Pelodiscus sinensis: one gene and its partners. Each later gene encodes a partner of the first gene's protein in a complex. Links are inferred from orthologs where the notes say so. Each region holds a gene or a part of one and is shown on either strand. Other genes may lie near its edges.

Region 1 (7,613 bases):
TTTTGCGACATGCCAGAAACAGGCAGGGAGGTAAGAGTGAGTGTATGGCATGCCCAGGGGAGGGGGCACAATGGGAGAGGATGGGAAGGGAGGGGTGGAGTCTTGGGGGAATGGATGGAGTCAGGGAAGAGTCTGGGGCAGAGCCGGGGATCAAGCACCATCCCTCCACAGCACATTGGAAAGTCAGTGCTTGCGTCAGTGTAGACAAGACCTCAATGAATTTGAATTCTTGAAGTCCATTTCTCAGTGGAGAAATTGCATCTACATTACATAAACCAACATCACAATTGGTACTAAATGGTCCACACTCTAGGAATCTTATCATAGGGCACATCTACATAGTACACTAAAACCCAGCTAAGACTCAGGTTGAAGCCCTCTTCAGTCCATGTAGAAATTAGTCTCACTGAGGCCAGTAACTCCTCTTGATGCAGGCCTGCAGACCCTGCTTGGAGTGGGGTGGGGTGGACCAGGTCACAGGTCCGGCTGTAATGCAAGGTCAGAGCCCAGAAATTTTGCAATGTGGACAAAGCTTTAGTCTAGAATCTAGACTCTAGATCATCAGATTCAGATCTGGAGAGTCTGCCAGTATTATCTCACAGTCTCCTCGGGATGTGCTCCGTTGTTCTTCAGTTCCAAAACTTGTCACTTACTTCCCAGGAACTGCAAACAATCTTCTGATTTAAAATATTTAGGATTGTCAAGAGGTAAAGTATAAAATAAACAGCCCTATGCGGACCCTAGAGGTTGAGCTCAGTGAGATTACCTCATGGTAAAACTGAAATGCCTGGTTTTCACTGTTTTTACCTCAGGATAGCTCACACGTGTTATTTACACATCTCTTGGCAGTGAAAACATGGCCTGGGTCACATTTGAGGCAGTAGTAAGGAATAACATACAGGAAGGCCTGCTGCTGCTGTTCATACTGTACCTTATCTGTGCAAAGGTTCTCAGTCTGGCACCTCAGCAGTATGAAATCTACTTTAAAATGGCCACAAATTATACTACATTTATTTTATCCACTCTCATTGCTTGATCCTATTGCCAGCAGCATTCTGTTTGTGATTACTCCTGTTTCCTAATTTTAACTAAACCGATGGGCAGATCTACAGTACAAAATGTACATGTACTACCGTGGTTCAGCCAATCTTGTGGAGATGCTCTAAGCCAACAGGTGAGAAGTCTCCTGTCGTCTTAATAATCCACCTCTGCAAAACAAAATTCAATAAAGACAAGTGCACTACACTTTGGAAGGAAAAAATCAAATGCACAACTATAAAATGGGGAATAACTAGCTAGGCAGAAGTACTGCTGAAAAGGATCTAGGTAGATCGTAAACTGAATATGCATCAACAATGCGATGTAAGTGCAACATTCTGGGGTATATTAACAGGATTATTGTATGCAAACCATGTGGCTGTGTCTAGACTGGCAAGTTTTCCCAGAAAATCATCTGCTTTTCCAGAAAAACTTGCCAGCTGTCTACACTGGCCGCTTGAATTTCCGGAAAAGCACTGACGATCTCATGTAAAATCATCAGTGCTTTTCTGGAAAAACTATGCTGCTCCCGTTTGGACAAAAGACTTTTGTGCAAAAGGGCCAGTGTAGACAGCATAGTACTGTTTTCCGCAAAAAAGCCCCGATCGTGAAAAAGGCGATTGGGGCTTTTTTGCGGAAAAAAGCGTCTAGATTGGCCATGGACGCTTTTTGGCAAAAAGTGCTTTTGCGGAAAAGCATCCTGCCAATCTAGACGCGCTTTTCCGAAAATGCTTTTAACGGAAAACTTTTCCGTTAAAAGCATTTTCGGAAATTCATGCCAGTGTAGACATATCCCAAGAGTTAATTGTCACAGCACAGAGGAGGTGTGGTGCAAGGGGCACGGTGAGGGGCAGAGCCCTGGTATAGGCATTCCTCGGGGTGGGGGTCAGGTCATTGGGGTTTTTTTTTTTGCGGGGTGGGGAGAATATCCCAGCAGGTGTCTGCAGGTTGGGAGTGTTTCTAGGGAGGCTACTTGACAATTGTGAAACCTCAGCTGTGGAACTATGTCCAATTCTGGGTGTCACGCTTTAGGAAAGATGTGAATAAATTGGAGTAAGCCCAGAGGAGAGCAACAAAAGATTTAGAGAACCTGATCTATGAGCAGAACCCTACCAAATTCACAGTACATTTTGGCCAATTTCAGTTACACTGTTTTTAAAGCTTCAGGGGTTAGCCGAGTTAGTCTGTTAGGGTGTGTCTAAACTACATGGCTCCATCGATGGAGCCATGTAGATTAGGCTGATCGGCAAAGGGAAATGAAGCCGCGATTTAAATAATTGCGGTTTCATTTAAATTTAAATGGCTGCCGCGCTGAACCAACGAACAGCTGATCAGCTGTTTGTTGGCACAGCGTGCTAGTCTGGACGCTCCCGCACCGACCTGAAATCCCTTTATCGACCTCCCCGTTATGCCTCGTAGGATGAGGTTTACCGGGAGGTCGATAAAGGACTTTCATGTCAGCAGGGGAGCGTCCAGACTGCCTCGATCTGCCGACAAACAGCGGATCGGCAGAGCGGGACAGCCATTTAAATTTAAATGGAGCCGCGATTATTTAAATCGCGGCTTCATTTCCCTTTGCTGAACAAACAAATCTACACGGCTACATCGACGGAGCCATGTAGTTTAGACGTACCCTTACAGAAAAAAACAGGAAACAAATGGTCTGGTAGCACTTTATAGACTAACTTACATGTAGATGGTATCATGAGCTTTCGTGGGCACAACCCACTTCTTCAAATGACCGAAGTTATGATTAGGGGGTAAGAAAACACAAAATAAATAGGAGAAGGGAAGGGGGGGGGGGGGAGAAAGATGTTCTGCTGCCCACACTGCTACCTCTATGCATAAAGTATCAGGAGAAAGGGTGCTAAACCTGAGTAGATAAAGATCAAAGTTAGTGGATGGATAAGGCAGGAAGGATACCATTCAAAAGTAGAATAGTGATAGAGATGCAGCCCTATTAGCCTGCTGTAGCTGAAACAAAAGACAGAACTATGTAGTTAAACTATGTAAAGTGCTACATAGTGCTGTCTTTCATTCAAAAAGTAGTTAGCACCTTCATTGATAAAGGTTCCACCACTCCAAATCTTGGAATTACAATTCTTATGCAAATTCAATTCAATTAATTATGGACTTAATTAAGATTTGGAGTGGTGGAACCTTTATCAATGAAGGTGCTAACCCCTATCATACTCTGTCCTGAGCCTCTTACATCCCCAAACTCCTGCATCCCCACATCCTGTCTTCTGCCACAACATTCCTGCACCATCCACACATGGCAAATGTATATCCTGACCCATCATACTCACAACCTTCTTGCCCTGAGCCCTGCACACATCCAACACAAACTCCTGCACCCTCACATCCACAAGCCTGTGGCTTGCTCAGCACCCCAACCTTCCACCTGAGCCCAACACTCCCCAGCCTGGAGCCCCCTCCCCGAGCCAGCATCCCCTTCTCCTGCATCCAAGTTTCCTCCCAGAGCTTGCACTTCTCACCCCTTCCCACATCCAAATCCCTCATTCCCACCCCACAGCCTGCACCTCCTTTCTCAACCAAGTGAGAGCGTATAATGGCTGAGGATAGCAAGTGATGGAGCGATGGGGAACAGAGAGGATGGGGCCTCAAAAGAGTGGAGTCTTGGGGAAGGAATGTGATTTTAATGTATTGGTGGGTGGGTTGGTTGGTTTTTTTTTTTTTTTTGCTTGACAAACCTAGGCATAGGGGCAGCAGTTTAATAATCCCGCATAAGGCACCATAAATCCTAAGGACGGCCCTGGTTGTAAGGTTTTTATAGGGGGGGGGGGTCACGGTATTGCCACCGTTACTGCTGTGCTACGTTTGTTGCAGGACTGTCTGCAGAGCTGGGCAGCAGACAGGCGGGTTGCACAGTATGGGAGAGAGGCATCACTTTTTCTAGGGGCGCAAGGGCCAGCCCCTCCTCCTCAGAGCCGGGGGGCGGGGCAGGCAGTGCTGGGACAATGTCTGCGCCCCTCCCCCAGCTGGGGGCGGCTGCGGAGCCCCGGGCGCACGCGGGGCGCTGGCAGCGGCAGCAGAGCCCGCAGGTGGTGGGCGGGCCGGGCGCACCTCTCGCTTGTTCCCATTGGTTGCCTCCCGCCCAGTGACCTGCCCCCTGGGCCTGGCCGCCTCCTCCCAACCGTTGAGTGCGCGCGCGGACAGGGAGCGGGTCAGGAGCAAGGCCCTGTTGCGATTGGCCGGGCATCCTCCCGCCCCGATCTGATTGGTCACTGTGTCATCGAGGGGCGGGAACAGGAGAGGGGATTGGCTGGCTCCGAGAGCGGGGAAGGGGGCGGGGCCTATGGAACGCGTGGGTTGTTTCCTTCCCCCTTCCCCCCCCCCCCGGAGACTCTGCAGGGAAGGCGGCGGGGGCTCTGGGGCGCGGCATGGAGGCGGTGCGCTGCGCGGGGCACGGTGAGGGGCGGAGGGTCTGGGGGCGCCCCCGTTCTCTGCGCGCGGGGCCCTGGGGGGGGGCCCAGACGGGGGGGCGGGGTTGGGGGCCGCGCGCTGCGGGGGGCGAGGCTGGGACCAGTCTCACGAGGCTGCTTCTCTTCCCCGCCAGGGTCTCTCTGCTGCCTCAAGACGGGCGTTAAGGATGGGCCGAACAAAGGGAAAAGCTTCTACGTGTGCGGGGTCCAGGAGCAGGCGCGCTGCGGATTCACCCTCCCTGTACAGTAGGTTCAGGGGTGGGGATGTTCCTGATCTGCGCCTAGCGCCCCCCCCCCCCCCCCATGCCCAGTTCTGCCCTTCCCTGGGTGGCAGGCTTCAGATTGAAGCAACTCTGCTGCCTGTGTGTCTCTGGGCTCCTCTAGGCCATGCAGAAGATTGGAAAGAGGATATGCAAATTCTGCGGGAAGGGTCTGTCTAGACTGCATCCCTCTTTCGACAGAGGGATGTAAATTAGACACTTTGAAATGGCAAATGAAGCCGGGATTTGAATTTATTTCCCGTGCTCCGTTTGCACAGTTGCGTCATGGCGCTCTTTCGAAAAAGCGCTGTTTTGAAATTGCACCCACAGTCGCAGTTCTTTCGAAAATAGAAGCCTTTTTCAAAAGATCCTGTAAAGATCCTCAGGCTTACAGGATCTTTCGGAAAAGGCTTCTGTTTTTGAAAGAACTGCATCTAGACTGCAGTTTAAATTTCAAAATAGCACTTTTTTGAAAGAGCGCCATGACGTGATTATGCAAATGAAGCACGGGAAATTCAAATCCCAGCTTCATTTGCAATTTCAAAGTGTCTAATTTACATCCCTGTGTGTCTCTGGGTTTGTCTAGGCTACGCGGAAGATTCGAAAGAGAATACGCAAATTCTGCGATAATTTGCAAATCTTCTTCTGATCTCACTTTTGAAAGTGGAGCTTTCGAAAGTGAAAGTAGTCGAGACGTGGCTTTTTCAGCAGCCCCTCCCCCCCTCTTTGAAAAGCTGCTCTTCCTCAAAAATGAGGTTTATGCAGCTTTTTGAAAAAGGGGGGGTTGCCGAAAAAGCCGCATCCCGACTACTTTCGCTTTCGAATCTTCTGCGTAGTCTAGACATAGCATCTGTCTACAACCTCTGCTCTGCTGAGATGGAGTACAGGGGCAGGGGAACACCATGGCTTCAACATTCCTTACGCCTTCACCCCACACTCTGCACAGTTAGCAGGAGAATCCTGGAAGCAGCTCTTGGAGCAAGATGGGTGGGGGGGGAAGGACAGCTGCATCTCTGCTAATCAGCTGGGCTGGCTAGAGAGAAATGCTTGGTGGACTGGGTCCGGCCCCCTGCATCTGAGTTTGTCCACCTCTGCTTTAGAGAGTCTGCACAGTATTGTATTAGTTTATCTTCAGGTGGTATAAATCTTTCACCAGTTATCATTTGTATTATCATAGTTTCTAGAAGTTCTAGTTATAGACAAGGACCCCACCCTGTACCAAAAATGTCAGTCTAAAACTAAGCTTAGAAATATAGATAAGTGGGACAAAGACAAGGGCACAATGAGATAATACTTGTCATCATGATAGGCAGCAGCTCATCACACCAACTGATGTACAGTTATTAGATTTTCGTATATATGGTAAAAGATGTATAAGGATGTAAAATGTCAGCCTGCATCTCCAATTAACTACATACCTGCAACTCCGGTGTCCGTATACAACATATATACTTTTATGTGGGCTGCAAAACATTTGTGGATTGTTGATGTAGCTGTAGATCATCCTGCAGTTTACCCTGGGTATGTCTACGCAGCAGAGCAGAAGTCAAATTAAGTTACCCAACTTCAACTACGTCAATTGCGTAGCTGAAGTCAAAATAGCTTAATTCGGCTTTCTGTGCTTTCTTCACAGCAGGACGTCAAAGGAAGAACACTCTTCCTTCGACTTCCCTTACTCCTCGTGAAATGAGGGTTACAGGAGTCAGAATAAGAAGTCCTCCAGCTCGACATTATTTTGAAATAATGACTTGCTGTGTATACGCGCATTATGTTGTTTCGAAATAACGTCACTTAGTATTAGCTAGTAGTATCAATATCATACCACGAAGGTCACAGATTCAGTGACTTTCCTTGACTTTTGCAGTAGCCAATGTGCTTGCCTTAGGGACTACTTGGGCAATGATCAATCACATCAGCCACCGTTGGGGTAATCTCAGGTACACCCATCTACCGCACAGGAGGCGTTTGGGGAGGGTTGGGGTGTGGGTTGATGTTTACATGGTTGGGCTTAACTCTACTTGCTGCATCTGCCCATGAGCACCATCCTCACAGCTCCTGATGGTTGCGGTTCCCAGCCAGTAAGAGCTGCAGAACCAGGGCTTATGGCAGAGTGAAGGCAGCATGTGAAGCCTGGAGGTAACAGCTGGAGGTTGCTACTTCCTGGGAGTCACCTCAGCCCTGCCAAGCCCCTGCTCCTCAAGCATCTGCGATGCCTTCTGAGCTGTCTCCCTCAGCACCCTTGACATCCCCCAGGCCACGCACCCCCTCAGCTGCTCCTCCCCTCCTCAAGTTTTTTGTCAGAGTGTCAGCCGACGGTCAGGGCAGTGTGTGTGTGTACGTTTCCGAGAAAAGGTTTAACGTCCGTGTCTTTACTGCTAGGACCGGGGTCCCATCGCAGAGGGTGGCCAGCAGGCCAACGGACGCCCCGTTATATAGGAAGAGCTTATTACACCTTAGATTTTAGCTGCTAGAACACAGGGGTTCCTTTGCAGAGGGCAGCCTAGGAAAGGCTGAAAAGGTGCCCCAATGGATCTTGTCACCTGGGAGTGACACAGATCCAAACGCCCAAGCTCTCCCTATGTCTGTCCCTTTATGACCGGCTGAAGTTCTTTTAAATTGTGCTTGGTTCTATTACAGCAACTGAAGGAGTCAGGTTAAAACTTAAACAGTTACAGGTTTATTTGAGGAAGCTTATAAATCATATGGTTGCAATGGCTATTGTTCTGTTTCTTAACTACTAGCAAAATATAGATCTTAAAAATGGTTACAAAGAAGATAAAGATAGAAAAATAGAAATAATGGTACCAAGTAACAGCTTACTCTTTCTATGTGTACACTTAAGACAGAGGACCACATCCAGGTATTATTT
Region 2 (7,270 bases), on another chromosome or scaffold:
AAAATGTGCCTCTCTTTCCCCTCTAGTGGCTGGTTCACATAACAGATAAGAGATTATTACTGTTTCCCAGTAGGGACATGAAAGTGTTTTAAGCCGGCTCCCAGCACACACTGGCTCCCAGGGAGTCACCTGCCCCTCCCATATTGCTGCCTCTGATACAGAGGCAGCAGTGAGGAGCAAGGTGGACGCAGGAGCTGGTACGCGTGGGAAACCAGCTTAAAAGCTGACCCCCCTCCACGCGTATAACCATTGAAATTTTCAGTGGTTACTTTAATTAAATACATTTTAATATCCATAGTTACCAGACAAGCAAATTGTAGAAGTCTGTGGCCTTCATGTCCCACTCCTGCTGATGACCCACATGAGGGTCAATACAATTCTACCTCACTAATTTTTTTCATTAAAAAGCTTCAGGAATTTACATTAAAACACCTACCTTAAAAGACCCAAAAGTTGCAAGTCAAGCTCTTAAAGAGTTTAAAGCACCAGAATGAAGGTTACATGCACAACTTGAATTCAACCCCTGTGCGTGTATGCATTCTAAGCCTTTAATATGATTTATCATGCTTCACTTAGCGCATATGATGGATAGTGCTCAAGAAATGCATCAGGGTGAAGTGATTGAAACTGTTCTCTGTAGGATCTCTACCTTATTTACTGCAAATGGAAAGGTGTGTAGCAAAAGAGGCGGGGAACTGCAGGCCTCATAGGTAAGAGATGAATGACACCCTGGAGAATTGGACTCTATACTTGCCTGTATCATGATGTCCCAATTGGATGCTTTTCACAAGTGGTTGCTAATTGGAGTTTTTCATTTTCTGAGTGCCTAACTGAAGACATTTGGGGTGAGATTTGCAGAAATGCTAAGCACTGTGAAAACAAATCTCAGAGGGGTAGCCTTGTTAATCTGTAACTTTACAAATGAGTAGTCCTTGGACTGCCTCTAAGGTACTACAGGACTACTACTCATTTTTCACTGTTCTCCATTTTATCAGTCAGGGGTGGGGAACCTAAGGCCCTGGGGGTCAGATGCAGCCCCCCATCCCCTAGCACTAGGGAGCCTGAGCTGGTGCTCCAACTGCCTGCTGCACCAGCATAGGGCTGGAGAACACAAAATCTACTAGCCTGGCCCTCCCCCTACACTCTGGTGGGGAGGGGAACATGGTGTCTTTCTCCTCCTGAGCTGGGGGCCATGTCAATGAGGATTTGGTTTTTTGCTTCTCACTTGTGTGCAGTACCTTATTGACTTTCTGTGGGTCAGCAGCCAACAACCCAAAAAAGGTTCCCAACCCCTGTTATAGGTAGAGAACTAACATCATCTTGCCTTAATATAGGTGAAGATCTCAGATAGTGTGATGAAGAGGACCTTAGAAAAGCTCATAAGTAAATTACTAGCTGTGTATTCAGTGCAAGGGTTTCCCTGTTGTGCAGCAAATGCAGCATTGGGTGATACAAGGGGAGAAACATAAAAAGCAATAAGCTATAAATTCGATTGACACTGTCCACTCAAAAGGGCCGTATTGCGGGAGAAATAACAATAGTAATAAGTGATAGGTGGCCGTGCCAGCACAATCTCACGCACACACACGGGCGCGCGCTCTCACGCACACTCTCACACGCACACACACGCACACTCGCGCACGCTCTCGCGCACGCTCTCACACACGCGCACGCTCTCGCACGCGCGCACGCTCTCGCACGCGCGCACGCTCTCGCACGCGCGCGCACGCTCTCGCACGCGCGCGCACGCTCTCGCACGCGCGCGCACGCTCTCACGCGCGCGCTCACGCACGCGCGCTCACGCACGCTCGCGCTCGCGCTCACGCACACGCACGCACACGCACGCTCTCACATGCACACACGCGCACGCTCTCACACGCACACGTGCACACTCACGCACGCTCTCACACACGCACACGTGCACACTCACGCACGCTCTCACACACGCACACGTGCACACTCACGCACGCTCTCACGCACGCACGTGCACATTTGCGCGCACGCTCGCGCACGCTCTCACACGCGCGCACGCTCGCGCACGCTCTCACACGCGCGCACGCTCGCGCACGCTCTCACACGCGCGCACGCTCGCGCACGCTCTCACACGCGCGCACGCTCGCGCACGCTCTCACACGCGCGCACGCTCGCGCACGCTCTCACACGCGCGCACGCTCACGCACGCTCTCACACACGCGCACACTCACGCACGCTCTCACACGCGCACGCTCTCACGCACGCTCTCACACACGCGCACGCTCTCACGCACGCTCACACACGCGCACGCTCTCACGCACGCTCACACACGCGCACGCTCTCACACGCACACACGTGCACACTCGCACGCTCATGCACGCTCTCACACGCACACACGTGCACACTCACACGCTCACGCACGCTCTCACGCGCACACGTGCACACTCACGTACGCTCTCACGCGCACACTCACGCACGCTCTCATGCGCACACTCACGCACGCTCTCATGCGCACACTCACGCACGCTCTCATGCGCACACTCACGCACGTGCACACTCACGCACACACGTGCACACTCACGCACGCTCTCACGCACACACGTGCACACTCACGCACACACGTGCACACTCACGCACGCTCTCACGCACACACGTGCACACTCACGCACGCTCTCACGCGCACACACGTGCACACTCACACGCTCACGCACGCTCTCACGCACACACGTGCACACTCACGCACGCTCTCACGCACACACGTGCACACTCACGCACGCTCTCACACGCTCTCGCACGCGGGTCCGGCTCGCAGCACAATCCCTAGTTTCCGAGCGCCTGACTCTGACACCAACTTCCGCGCGCGGGTAACTCGGAGCCCGGAGCCCCCCCCCCGTGTCACCTCAGCAGGCTCCGCGCCCCACGCCCGTGCTCGAGCCTCGGAGCCCGCGGGACGCCCCGCCCCGCCCCCGCCCCGCGGCCCGGCCGCGCTCACCAGCTCGGGCAGTCGAACAGCGACAGGCCGCCACCCGAGTTCGCGTTCGCCGCCATCTTGTAGCTACTCCATTCAAGAGGGCGCGGGGCAGGCTGGGAAACAGGAGGACCGGTCGGGGGCGATCCCGGCATGCACCGCGCGCCGCTCCCGTCACAGTGACAGTGATTGGCGGCAGGGGGCGGGGCGAGCAAACACCCGCCCTGCGTGTGGAAAGGCTGCGCCGGGGGCAGCGGCCCTGTCCCGGCTCCCGGGAGGCTCCGGGCTGGGTCCCCTCCGGAAAAGCGCCCGTGCAGACGCGGGTCTTTCAGCAAGCCAAGCACTGAGGGAGCGTCTGGAAACGGGTTTATCTTCCCACAGATCCGCGTCGAGCCGGGCGCTTTTCCCGCAAAGCTCCGCACTGGAAATAAAGCAGCAGCCATTTTTATGCAAATGAAGCGGGGGAGGGGGATTTAAATCCCCGCTTCATTTGCAATTGCGATGTGTCTAATTTGCATCCCTGTCACGGAAAAGGGGTGCAGTCTAGACACAGCCCTGGGAGCAACTCATTTCTGAGTCTTGGGACCAGCTGTGGCGGTGTTTCAAAGGGGCAGCACCAGATGGAGCCCAGGAGCAGCTGTGCGGTGCTTCCCCTTTGAAACACCACTGCAGTATTTCAAAGTGGCATTGCCACGTGGAGCCTGGGGGCAGCTGGGGACTCCTTAGCTGACCTTGCGCGAGGCGTTTCTACAGAACCCGGAGTCAGGTAGGTAGTCCCCATCTGATCCCAGGCTCCCTGCACTGCTACCACTTTGAAATGCCACACAAAGCCGGTGTCAGCTGAGTCCAGGCTTTGCACACTTTGAAATGCCGCACTCATGGGGACACTACTCAAAGCAGCAAGCTCTTTTCACACACCTACCTTACCTTTCTCACACATCTGTTTCTTTCTCTAGATTCTCTCCCTGTGGAAGACCACCCAGGGCAAATACCAGGTAGCAGGGATTTACTTAGACACCATCAAAATCAGGTTTTCATGTCAAGATGAAAACTATGGACTTGCAATCCAGCCTTCCTTAATCTTTTCTTGTACGTAACTGTTAGTACTGAGAAAAGAGTTTGCATTTAAGAAAGCGTATCTCCCCTTCTTATCCCATTGGTAAATCTCACCTAGGCTCAGAAAAGAAACTGCTAAAATCATCTGATCACTGTCTGTTTTTATAAAATAAAAATGTAGAGATCATTGATCAAAGAAACTGTTAGGGCAGCGTTTAAAGGGGAGATCTTATTTTCCACATGAAATTATCTGATTTCTAGAGCCCTGAAAATTCATGGATACCCACTTTATAATCTGAGTATCCACATCTGTGGCTCACTTGTGTATTCAGATAAAAATTTTGTATCCACAGAGGGGTCTACTGGTTTCTCTGTTTCTAGTAACTCATTTAAAAATATATGCTTTTATCCAGGTTCTGGGAAAAACCCTACTGCCTAAGGGGATGGAGGGAGGGCAGATTTCACATGGAATGGTTATAATGGTTCTGCCTGGCCCGGGAATCCATGAATCTGAGTTCAACATGCTTATAACAGCTGCAGCTCTGCATGATGAGTTGACTCTTCAAATCTCGTACTCCCCAGCTTTCATGGGTTGGTCAGGACAGAACTGCCCCTCCCCAATGCATAACCAGCCAAATGTATTCCATGGCTGCTGGTGGTATTTATAGTTTGCCACCTTCTGAAGCATCAGAGATTGGCCATTGGATGGAGTGGACCTCTGCTGTGACTGATTGGCAGATCGGGTTTTGAGAGAATTTTCCCCAGGTGTCTTGGGTTGAGACTTAAGAATAGCCTGTCTTCTGACCGTGATCAGTGCCCTAGAGGGAATGAAAATAGAATCAAATGATCCATCCTGTCACTCAACCATCTTCTGGCAAGCAGACTAGGCCACCCGTTCCCATCCTGACTATTAGCCATTGACGGACCTGCCTTCCATTAAATTTATCTAGTTCTTTGAGTCTTATAAAAAATTCCCTACCATTTAAACACTCATTAAAAATAAAATTGAAAAAGCATGGAAACAAAAACCCATTTCTTCAGCACGATTTTCCTTCTGCAGCAGGGCCTGCTGTCTTTTTAATTAATGTTGCTTAAATGCAACTTCCTTTTGCAAGAGCTCTGTATGAAAGCAGAGCACGTGTTGTGTGCATTAAGAGCCAGTGCGGGCACGTCATTTTAACTGCTCCTGGAGAGGAGAAAGCACCGTGTAGTTCTTCTGAAATGTGGAACATAAAGAAGGGTTTTTTCAGATTCTGGTCTTCCTCTTTGAACAGACCTGGGCTGTAGCCTGGTGCAGGCAAGCTGATGGCTCTAGCAGGACCAGCAGGGGTCTTTCCAAGATGGCTACCAAGATGGTGACAGAGGTTGGGCCATGCCCAGCTTGCACTGTAGAATCTGTTCTCTGCACTATTAGAAAGTTTGAAACAGGCAAAACTGGAGCCACCCATTCTCCTGGCACAGAATGGAAAGGAGGCAAAGGTCACGCTGGGGTCGGGTAGCAGGACACATCACTGCAATGGAACTGCAGCTAAACTTGCCCTAACTGGAACACGAGAAGGAGCTGCCTAGTCGCTCGGGTGGGCGGTGGACTTCGGCCCCTTCCAGAGCAGGCCTCTTTCCATTGGCCAGGGGGGCCTGGAAGTAAATAGGGTGGAATGGTGCAGAGAAGGGTGAGACCATCAGTGCTAGGAGAGAGATATTGGGTAACATCTGAGCTCCGTCCCATCAGCCTTCCAACTGCCCCTGCTCCATGTGTTAGAACTGTGGGCAGGAGGGTGGGCTAGGACTCTCAGGTGTGCCCACTGGAGACACCCACAGGGCAACAGGCTGGTGAGAACTGCTTGGCCAAAGAGCAAAACCAGGGAATTCAAACCCAGAGGTGGAAAGCTGTCAAGCACCAGAAACTGGGCACAGCATCTGCAGGAGGAAGCTTGGTCACAGATCATTTAGCAGCAAAGGCCACAGCTTTCTAGTCTATTCTCAAGCTGCAACAACCATGGCACATCCCCCACACAGGGCACACAGGAGTCACTTTGAAACACAGGCAGCACAACACTGCAGGCACTTTCCAGTCAAAACAGCAGACGCCACACTGTCCATGGAGGAGGCAAAGGTGTGGCTCTTAGGAGCTATGCCCGCCGGTGCCAGGAGCAGCATGCACTGACATGGAGGTCTCTTGCCCCTTAAAGCAGACAGGGTGGGATGAACTCCCCAAACAGTCATTACAGGACTGTGATGGTAGGCAGGTCTTTCAATGCACATGATACAATCAAAGGCCTGGAAGATACCCGGAGAGGACATCTGGTCCACTCCCCTTACCCAGAGCAGGACTTCCCAACCATGTTCAGTAAGGGACCAAATTCAGTGTACTTTTAACTAAAGTGTAATTAGAGTTTCAGGATGCAGATCACATGCGCAGGTGAGTTCCTGCTCACTTTGCACACATGGAAGTTCTTGCACTACAGAAATGAACACTGGAAATGCCACAAGCAAGAATGGTTAGAATGAAAACAGCCTTCTAGCCTATCTAGGCAAGTCAGCTCCAGGAAATATATTTTGCAGCTTTAGTGACTTCATTTTCTCTAGCACAAGGAGTTTGCCTACACTTCAAACGGTAGGAGAAAGACACTGATCAAACACTTTTAAAAATGTTTATTGACAGTTATTGGATGGAATGATGGTGCAATAGTGCAAAAAAATTGTGCAATTATGAAAACACATTCCCTCCGCAGTTTTCACATTTAGTTTAGTATTTTAACTAAGACAAACATGGAATAAAGGTTAAATACAAAATGAGTCTGTATGCTGCAGTTAGCTGCCCATGATGCACTTTTAGCTAAAGTCTTATTTTCCCATCAGCGCATTTCAGCTCAATCACAATGAAGAATGGGGGTGGCAGGTAGGTGCTATCTACTCCTATTACAATCCAAGAAGTAGAACCAGAGATCTCTTCCATTGTTAAGCAATAACCTCTGCCATTCTAACACTGCCAATCATGTACTAAGCCAAATTCCTTATTACTTATGGACATTTCATAATCTCTTCATAACTGGTATTACTGTAGTTCACAAAATACACTCTACCTATTTTAGCAGAAGTTCCACATTTTTAACTAGTAGTAGAGCTTCAAGAGTCATTTCTAAACAATTCAGTCTGGCTAATGCAAACCAGCAAGAAAGTTCAGTAAACCCTGGGGCTCTGTTTCCAGCCATGCCTGGCTGTCTCAATGAAAACACATTTAAAAACCACCATTAAAAGTGTGAAGTGGTCATA
Region 3 (7,221 bases), about 74 Mb from region 1:
TTTAGAAAAAAGACTACTGTGCTGTCTGCACTGGCCCTTTTCCGGAACAGTTTTTCCAGAAAAGGACTTTTGCCCGAACGGGAGCAGCATAGTTTTTCCGGAAAAACACTGACAATTTTACAGTAGATCGTCATTGCTTTTCCGGAAAAGCAAGCGGCCAGTGTAGAGAGCTCGCAGCTTATTCCAGAAAAGCGGCTGCTTTCCTGGAATAAGTGGCCCAGTGTAGACACAGCCAATGTGTGTGAAGTGATATTCCCTTTCACTACTTCCTTCACATTTGTGATTTTAGATTGCAGTATCGGTTATGGTAAGTTTTCAGAAATCAAGAGTCTGACCCCTAAAACTACAGGATTGGGGTTAAAATAACTTGTAAATAAACAAAATGTTTTAAAAAATCTTTTGATTTCTGGTTTTTGAGCCTTTTAGGGTATAATCAGTTCACATTCACAGACTTTTCTCTGCAAACATGAAAGCTTATATATATGGTAATTAAGTGATATATCACTTTAAGTATCAGAGGGGTAGCCGTGTTAGTCTGGATCTGCAAAAGTGACAAGGAGTCCTGTAGCACCTTATAGTCTAACAGATGTATTGCAGCATAAGCTTTCGTGGGCAAAGACCCACTTCTCAGATACATGTAGTGGAAATTTCCAGAGGCAGGTATAAATATGCAGGTAAGAATCAGGCTAGAGATAACGAGGTAAATTCAATCAGGGAGGATGAGGCCCACTTCTAGTAGCCGATATGGAGGTGTGAACACCAAGAAAGGAGAAACTGCTTTTGTAATTCGCTAGCCATTCACAGGCTTTGTTTAATCCTGAGCTGATGGTGTCAAATTTGCAAATGAACTGCAGCTCAGCAGTTTCTCTCTGAAGACTGGTCCTGAAGTTTTTTTTCTGCAGGATGGCTACCTTTAAATCTGCTATTGTGAGTCCAGGGAGATTGAAGTGTTCTCCTACAGGTTTTTTGTATATTGTAATTCCTAATATCTGATTTCTGTCCATTTATTCTTTTGCGTAGGGACTGTCCAATTTGGCCAATGTATATAGCAAAGGGGCATTGCTGGCACATGATGGCGTATATTACATTTGTCAAATTTGCAGATTACCCGCGTATGTTTATAACCCACAGGGACTTCTACAGCAGCCCTGGGCAGCAGTGCATAGACAGCAGACACAAGGCGACAGCCATCCTGCTGTCAGTGAGCCAGACGGACTGCGAGAGGGAGACACACTCATGCCCAGGCCCACCCCGTGCAGCCAGGCGTCACCCACCCTCCTCCGGGCGGGGAGAATGGAGAGCGTGCGCGGACACGCTGGAAGCTCGTCAGGCCCTCTCTGCAGCAGAGCTAATCCTGTTCTCATGGCGGGCGAGCAGAGACGCTTAGGGGAACTGATGCTCCTGGAGTATAAATCAATTTATATAAGACGCAGACATGTATACCCCATGGAGGGAGGGGACGCATGGTTTGTAAAAACATATATAACCCATGGGTTATATTTGCTAATTCATGGTAATTAGCAAACACCCAGACCTAAATATACCCACGTGGTTTCTTCATATTGATGACTGTTCTATAAAGAGTCAAGCCACAACAGAGGGCAACTACTTATTTTGTTGTTTTGTTTTGTTTACATGAGAAGTGAGATTCTCACACCATCACTTGTATCCAGAGCTGCAGCTTTAAGAAGAACACTAAATATGTGGAAAGAGTAGCCATAAAATAGTGAGAGTTGGTATTGCATACTGCACAGAACTCCACAGATACAGGACAGAAGAGTTTGAAAGAGTCACCAGTAAGCCAGTCTGTGTGCATGTGCCTGGAATGTTAGCTACTATTGTAGCACCGCTGTAAATAGTTCTTGTAATAAAGTCAGATTATTTTAGAAACATGGTGATCTCTCAAGTTATTTACATAGTATATGTAATGGGTAGTACTGATATTAAGCCCATCAAAGCAAGGATTTTTTTCCCGTGTTTGTACAGCATTCAGCACATTGGAGTGCTAATCCTTATTGGGTCCTGTGAGCATTACCACATTAAGCATTACTAGTAAATGATTTAGAATTAGGGTTGCCAGGTGTCCGGTTTTCTACCCGACAGTCTGGTTTTTGGCCCTCTGTCCGGTAAAAAAAATCCAGAAAACACTGGATATGTGCAATGTCCGGTATTTCCTGGTTTTCTGGCTGGACGCTGGACAGAAGCCTGGCGGGGGCAGGAGTGACTGGGAGGCGGGGCATGATCGGCACTGGGAGCCTCTGGTTGCATGTGAGGAGGAGGGGCAGCCCGGTCCATGCTCCTGCGCGCTGGTCAAGCGTGTGGTGGAGCCGCAGCCGGACTGACTCGTGTGTGACGGGAGCGCTCTAGGATCTGCACAGCCCGGGTCAGTCCTGCTCCACGCTGGCTGATTTGCTCCCCTGCCCCCTCCGCCAGCTCTGAGTCTCGCTGGCCAGTTCCTGCTCTGGATTTTCCCCGGCCAGCCCCGCTGCACTCCCTGAGAGCCCTGCTTCTGGCGGCCAGTTCTCCCCTCCTCCTGAGCTCCCCCGGTCAGTTCTGCCCTCGCTGGCCACCCCCCCAAATATCCCACAGCCAGCCCTGTTCCGCCCGACCCCCCCCACTGACCAGCCCTGCTTTCCGTCGGCCCCCCAATCTTCCCTAGCCAGCTCTGCTGCCCCCCCCCAGTTAGCTCTGTTTCCCGGCCCCCCCCACTCTCTTCCCGGCCATCACTGCTCCCCTCCCGGCCGGTCCTTTCTCGGTATTTTTTTTTTATGACTACCTGGTAACCCTAGCGGTGATCCTATGATTAACACAGGGTATGTCTACACAACAAAGTTAATTCGAACTAACGGACGTGTGGACACTCTGTGTGGACATGCTAGTTCGAATTAGCAAAACGCTAATTCGAACTAGTTTTTAAGTCTAGCTGCGCTAATTTGAATTAGCTTAGTTCGAATTAACTAATTCGAATTAACTATTTCGAACTAAGTTAGTTCGAATTAGCGCTGTAGTGCAGACATACCCCCAGAGATTTAAACTGAGAAGCAATTTGCTTTCCCCCTGCTCGATTGCCCTCCTGGCTCCCAACACCCCCAGCCGCCTGATCCCAGCCCCCATGTTTACCTGGTTCTGCAAGGCTCCCAGCACAAAATGGTCTCGGAGTCTTTTTTTTGTTTGTTCAAGAACTTTGGTCTCCCCCCCACCCCTTTTTTTCCTTCAACAGAATTTTTTCTCTGTTTTTTTTGGGGGGGGGGGGAGGGTGTTCAGTATTTTTGTTTCAACCATCTGGCGACCCTATTTAGAATAAATGTACTAATTTTCTCAGCCTCTCCATTCTCCATAAAAAGGTCCCCTCCACAACAACTGAACCTCAGTATTGCCAAAGCCAGGTATTAAAAACATCGCAAGATTTTTTTAAAAACAAGTAAAATGTGGGATCTTTTTCTTGGTTTCTCACATACTGCGTTTGTCTCGCCTTTTCAAGCTTTTCTCCACACCATTTTTTTTACATGGAAAGGTTTTATGTAACGGGGTTTAAACTGCAGCAAGGGAGGTTTAGGACGGACATTAGGAAAAAGTTAATGTCAAGGTGGTTAAACACTGGAATAAATTGCCCAGGGAGGTTGTGGAATCCCCGTCTCTGGAGATATTTAAGAGTAGGTTAGATAAATGTCTATCAGGGATGGTCTAGACAGTACTGGGTCCTGCCATGGGGGCAGGGGACTGGACTCGATGACCTCTCGAGGTCCCTTCCAGTCCTAGTATTCTGTGATTCTGTGAAAGTGCCAGCGCAATTGCACCATCACATTAGTTGAGGGAAGCAGCTCGACCTAGAGCCCTGCTCTGGGCCTCCAGAGCACTGGCTGGGACGCTGCAATAGGGCTTGCTGGGGGAGGGGAGAGGCTCAGGCTCGCGCGCCTGCCCCCTCCCCAGGGATCGGGCTCCGCCCCCGGGCCATGGAGGCTCCTCTGGCCCTGGCGACACCAAGCCGCACCCGCAGGGGGCGCGCGCCCGCATTCCGCGCCGGGCTGCCTTTTTTTTTTTTTCCTGGCACCATAGAGTAGGAGGACCGATCCAGCCTGGCCACTTCCACATCGCTCCGGGATCGTTGTTTCTCACCTTCCCTCCGCTTGAGCCAACCCGGAAGCGGAAGTTCGCCCGCAGGGGGTTGTGGGACGCCGGCGCGGAGGCCCGCTCCTCTGTTTTCTTTTGGGTCAGTCGCATTCGGCAGCGGCGGCGGCCTGGAGGGGGAAGGGGTCGCAGACCGTCGCGGGGTGAGTCAGACCAGCCCCTCCCCCCCCATGGTTTCCAGTAGGCCCGTCTCTGTTGAAGGTGGGGGCGGGGGCCGCAGAGCCCTCCCCGGGGGTAGCCGTGACCTTTGTCCCCGTAAACATTCGCAGCCCTCCTCACCCCCCTCGGCTCTATCCGAGCTGCCCGGGCCGGGGTGTGGGTGGCGGGGGAGGGGGCAGCGGAATCAGGTGGGAAGGAAGCGCCAGGTGCCGCCTGGGAAGGACGCCGCTCAAGGTTCTTCTAGAGCTTTTAAAACGTGTGTTTCTGGCCCTGTTGTGCAGAATTCGGGGGTGATGGGGGAGGGGGCCGGATCAGACAATGTTTATGTACTGGACGTAGGAAAAAAAAAGTTAAAGCTTCTGTATTGGTTAAAAGGCAAATTACCAACATCCTGTGTCTAAATATACACAATAAGTAGCTGTAAAACACGCGTACGGTTTTTCTTCTTTTGCCTGACTGCAAATTTCACTTTTTATAGATGGAAATACTTTCTTATGGGGAATGTATGTGGAAGGTGAATTTGTTGGTCATTTATTGATTTCTCATTTTCTCAGTTTATTTTATGACTGATAAGAGTTGTATTTGTGAATCACTGGCAAATCTATCTATTTGTGAAATTATCTTACAAGTAGAGCACATCTATAGATAACATTCACAAATGTGTTTTGAGTAAATCAAATACTATTTGGTGTTGCTGTTTCCCATTCTAGGAAAGGGCTCTCGCTGTCTTCAAGTTGCATCATGTATAATATATTTAGGTCTGAGCAAGAGTTATAAGGCTAATTTTTCCCTTTAAATGGAAATTTGTTTTTCTTTCTTTCCAGAATAAAGTCATCTATTTGAGAATATGGAGTTCTTCAAGATTGGACTGTTGCAGTATAACTGTTTCTGGTTAATACTTCAATTATTCTGCTCATGCTAGTACTAGGTGATAACATGAGTTTCACAATGCTTCCTCCTGAAGCATAACTAACGGTTGAGTCATTGAATATCAAGCCATATTTATTATTCATATCATCAGCTTTTCAATTTCTCTGTGGGCTTTATTCTTGTGGCTAATATTTAAGTCTTGGAACTGAATTCCTATATTGTGATGTTTAGAAAACAGTTTATAATGGCAATGCTGTTAAATTTCCTAATTAACTTTCATGCCAAGAATCAGTGGCTTTACTTGGTAATATTTAAGTCTCAGAAATGGTCAGTTATTTACAGATAGGGACTATGTTCCTCAATTAGTGTGGCCTATAAGTTCACTTAGTATACATTTTCCTTACTGTTTTTATACTTTTTTTTTTTTTTGTGCTATGGCTGCTGCTACCATAGTTCATGATACATCCGAAGCAGTAGAGCTCTGTTCTACATATGGTTTATATCTTAAACCCATTACAAAAATGACTATTAGTGTGGCCCTTCCTCAGCTGAAGCAACCAGGAAAATCCATTTCTAACTGGGAAGTGATGGAAAGACTAAAAGGAATGGTGCAAACGCATCAGTTTTCCACACTACGGATTTCCAAAAGTACCATGGACTTTATTCGTTTTGAAGGAGAGGTTGAAAACAAAAGTTTGGTTAAGTCCTTTCTTGCATGCCTTGATGGCAAAACAATAAAACTTAGTGGCTTCTCTGACATTTTAAAAGTTCGTGCTGCAGAATATAAAATTGACTTTCCTACTAGACATGACTGGGACTCTTTCTTCCGTGATGCAAAAGATATGAATGAAACTTTGCCAGGCGAGAGACCAGACACCATTCACTTAGAGGGGTTACCTTGCAAATGGTTTGCACTGAAGGACTCTGGCTCAGAAAAACCAAGTGAAGAAGTCCTTATAAAAGTATTTAATAAATTTGGGGAAATACGTAATGTGGACATACCCATGTTGGATCCATATAGAGAAGAAATGACTGGAAGAAATTTTCATACTTTCAGTTTTGGAGGACATTTGAATTTTGAAGCTTATGTTCAGTATCACGAGTATGTAGGTTTCATCAAGGCCATGAATGCTCTGCGAGGGATGAAACTGATGTACAAAGGTGATGATGGAAAAGCAGTGGCTTGCAATATAAAGGTGAGGAACTGTGGAATTATTTTGTAATAGATCTTAAAGGGGAAAAACTACTGTTGAAGGTCCTTTCCATATATGTTAACATCTAGACCCTCATTTTATATGGATATCAGGTCAGATTGATGAAGTGACAGCACAAAAATAGTCTCTTGCAATATCCATAGTGAAATTTCAGATATAAGGTGTGATAGTGAAGGAGTGGTAATATGCACAAAATAAAATTTTAATATTGACGTAGCCCTTAGGCTAGGAATAATACAGTGTGGGAGCTAAATATGTGAACCAAGTCTGTGTTCTAAATGCCACATTTAAATTCTTAAAAGTTGTGTTTTGTAAATGTTAACCCATCTCCTCTAGATCTTCCACATTCTTGATTAGAGGATGGCAAACTTCATTATCTAACCCATCAAGGAAGGCTGCTGGTAAACACAATTTCCTGGTGCATCTGGAGTGTCCTCAGGCCTGAAGTCCCTCAGCTCCCAATGGCTGCATTTCATCATTCCCCTCAAATGGGAACTGTAGAAAGCATTGTGGGCTGAGGGGTGTACTGGCCACTACTTCCCACCTCTCTTGTTGGCCAGGAATGGCAAATTGCAGACATTGGGAGCTGTAGGGTGCCAGCCACTGAAATATAGGATTGTCTTATGAATGGATCATGGCAGTTTTCCATTTTTATCTATTCATCTTGGGGGAGGAATCGTCTTATAAACGAGTGGGCTAATGAGTATATATAAATGGTATTCCTCTGATATATTTGTAGAAAGCAATCATATGCTTTCTACAAATTCATTAGGTCAGGCCAAACTAACTAAACTTTTTGAGTCTCCACTCATGCGGTGGGTTTTTCCATTCGTATAATCTTAGTAGTCCT

What was found. The genes of interacting proteins can lie anywhere in the genome.
Region 2: TTF2 (region 1) and PPP1R8 share a complex: the UniProt entries of both Homo sapiens proteins name them as parts of the spliceosome. The link is inferred for Pelodiscus sinensis from reciprocal best matches to the Homo sapiens genes TTF2 and PPP1R8.
Region 3: TTF2 (region 1) and AKAP17A share a complex: the UniProt entries of both Homo sapiens proteins name them as parts of the spliceosome. The link is inferred for Pelodiscus sinensis from reciprocal best matches to the Homo sapiens genes TTF2 and AKAP17A.

The regions. Positions count from the first base shown.
Region 1 is NC_134711.1:149,418,013-149,425,625, reverse strand, and holds the start of TTF2 (transcription termination factor 2), read left to right. Parts: upstream 1-4,342; 5' UTR 4,343-4,357; coding exon 4,358-4,451; coding exon of another isoform or gene 4,452-4,470; intron 4,471-4,618; coding exon 4,619-4,730; intron 4,731-7,613. UniProt on the Homo sapiens protein: DsDNA-dependent ATPase which acts as a transcription termination factor by coupling ATP hydrolysis with removal of RNA polymerase II from the DNA template. May contribute to mitotic transcription repression. May also be involved in pre-mRNA splicing.
Region 2 is NC_134735.1:22,793,498-22,800,767, reverse strand, and holds the start of PPP1R8 (nuclear inhibitor of protein phosphatase 1), read right to left. Parts: upstream 3,120-7,270; 5' UTR 3,097-3,119; coding exon 2,966-3,096; intron 1-2,965. UniProt on the Homo sapiens protein: Inhibitor subunit of the major nuclear protein phosphatase-1 (PP-1). It has RNA-binding activity but does not cleave RNA and may target PP-1 to RNA-associated substrates. May also be involved in pre-mRNA splicing.
Region 3 is NC_134711.1:223,232,440-223,239,660, reverse strand, and holds the start of AKAP17A (A-kinase anchor protein 17A), read left to right. Parts: upstream 1-4,102; 5' UTR 4,103-4,210; exon of another isoform or gene 4,211-4,271; intron 4,272-4,339; exon of another isoform or gene 4,340-4,543; intron 4,544-5,111; 5' UTR 5,112-5,591; coding exon 5,592-6,353; intron 6,354-7,221. UniProt on the Homo sapiens protein: Splice factor regulating alternative splice site selection for certain mRNA precursors. Mediates regulation of pre-mRNA splicing in a PKA-dependent manner.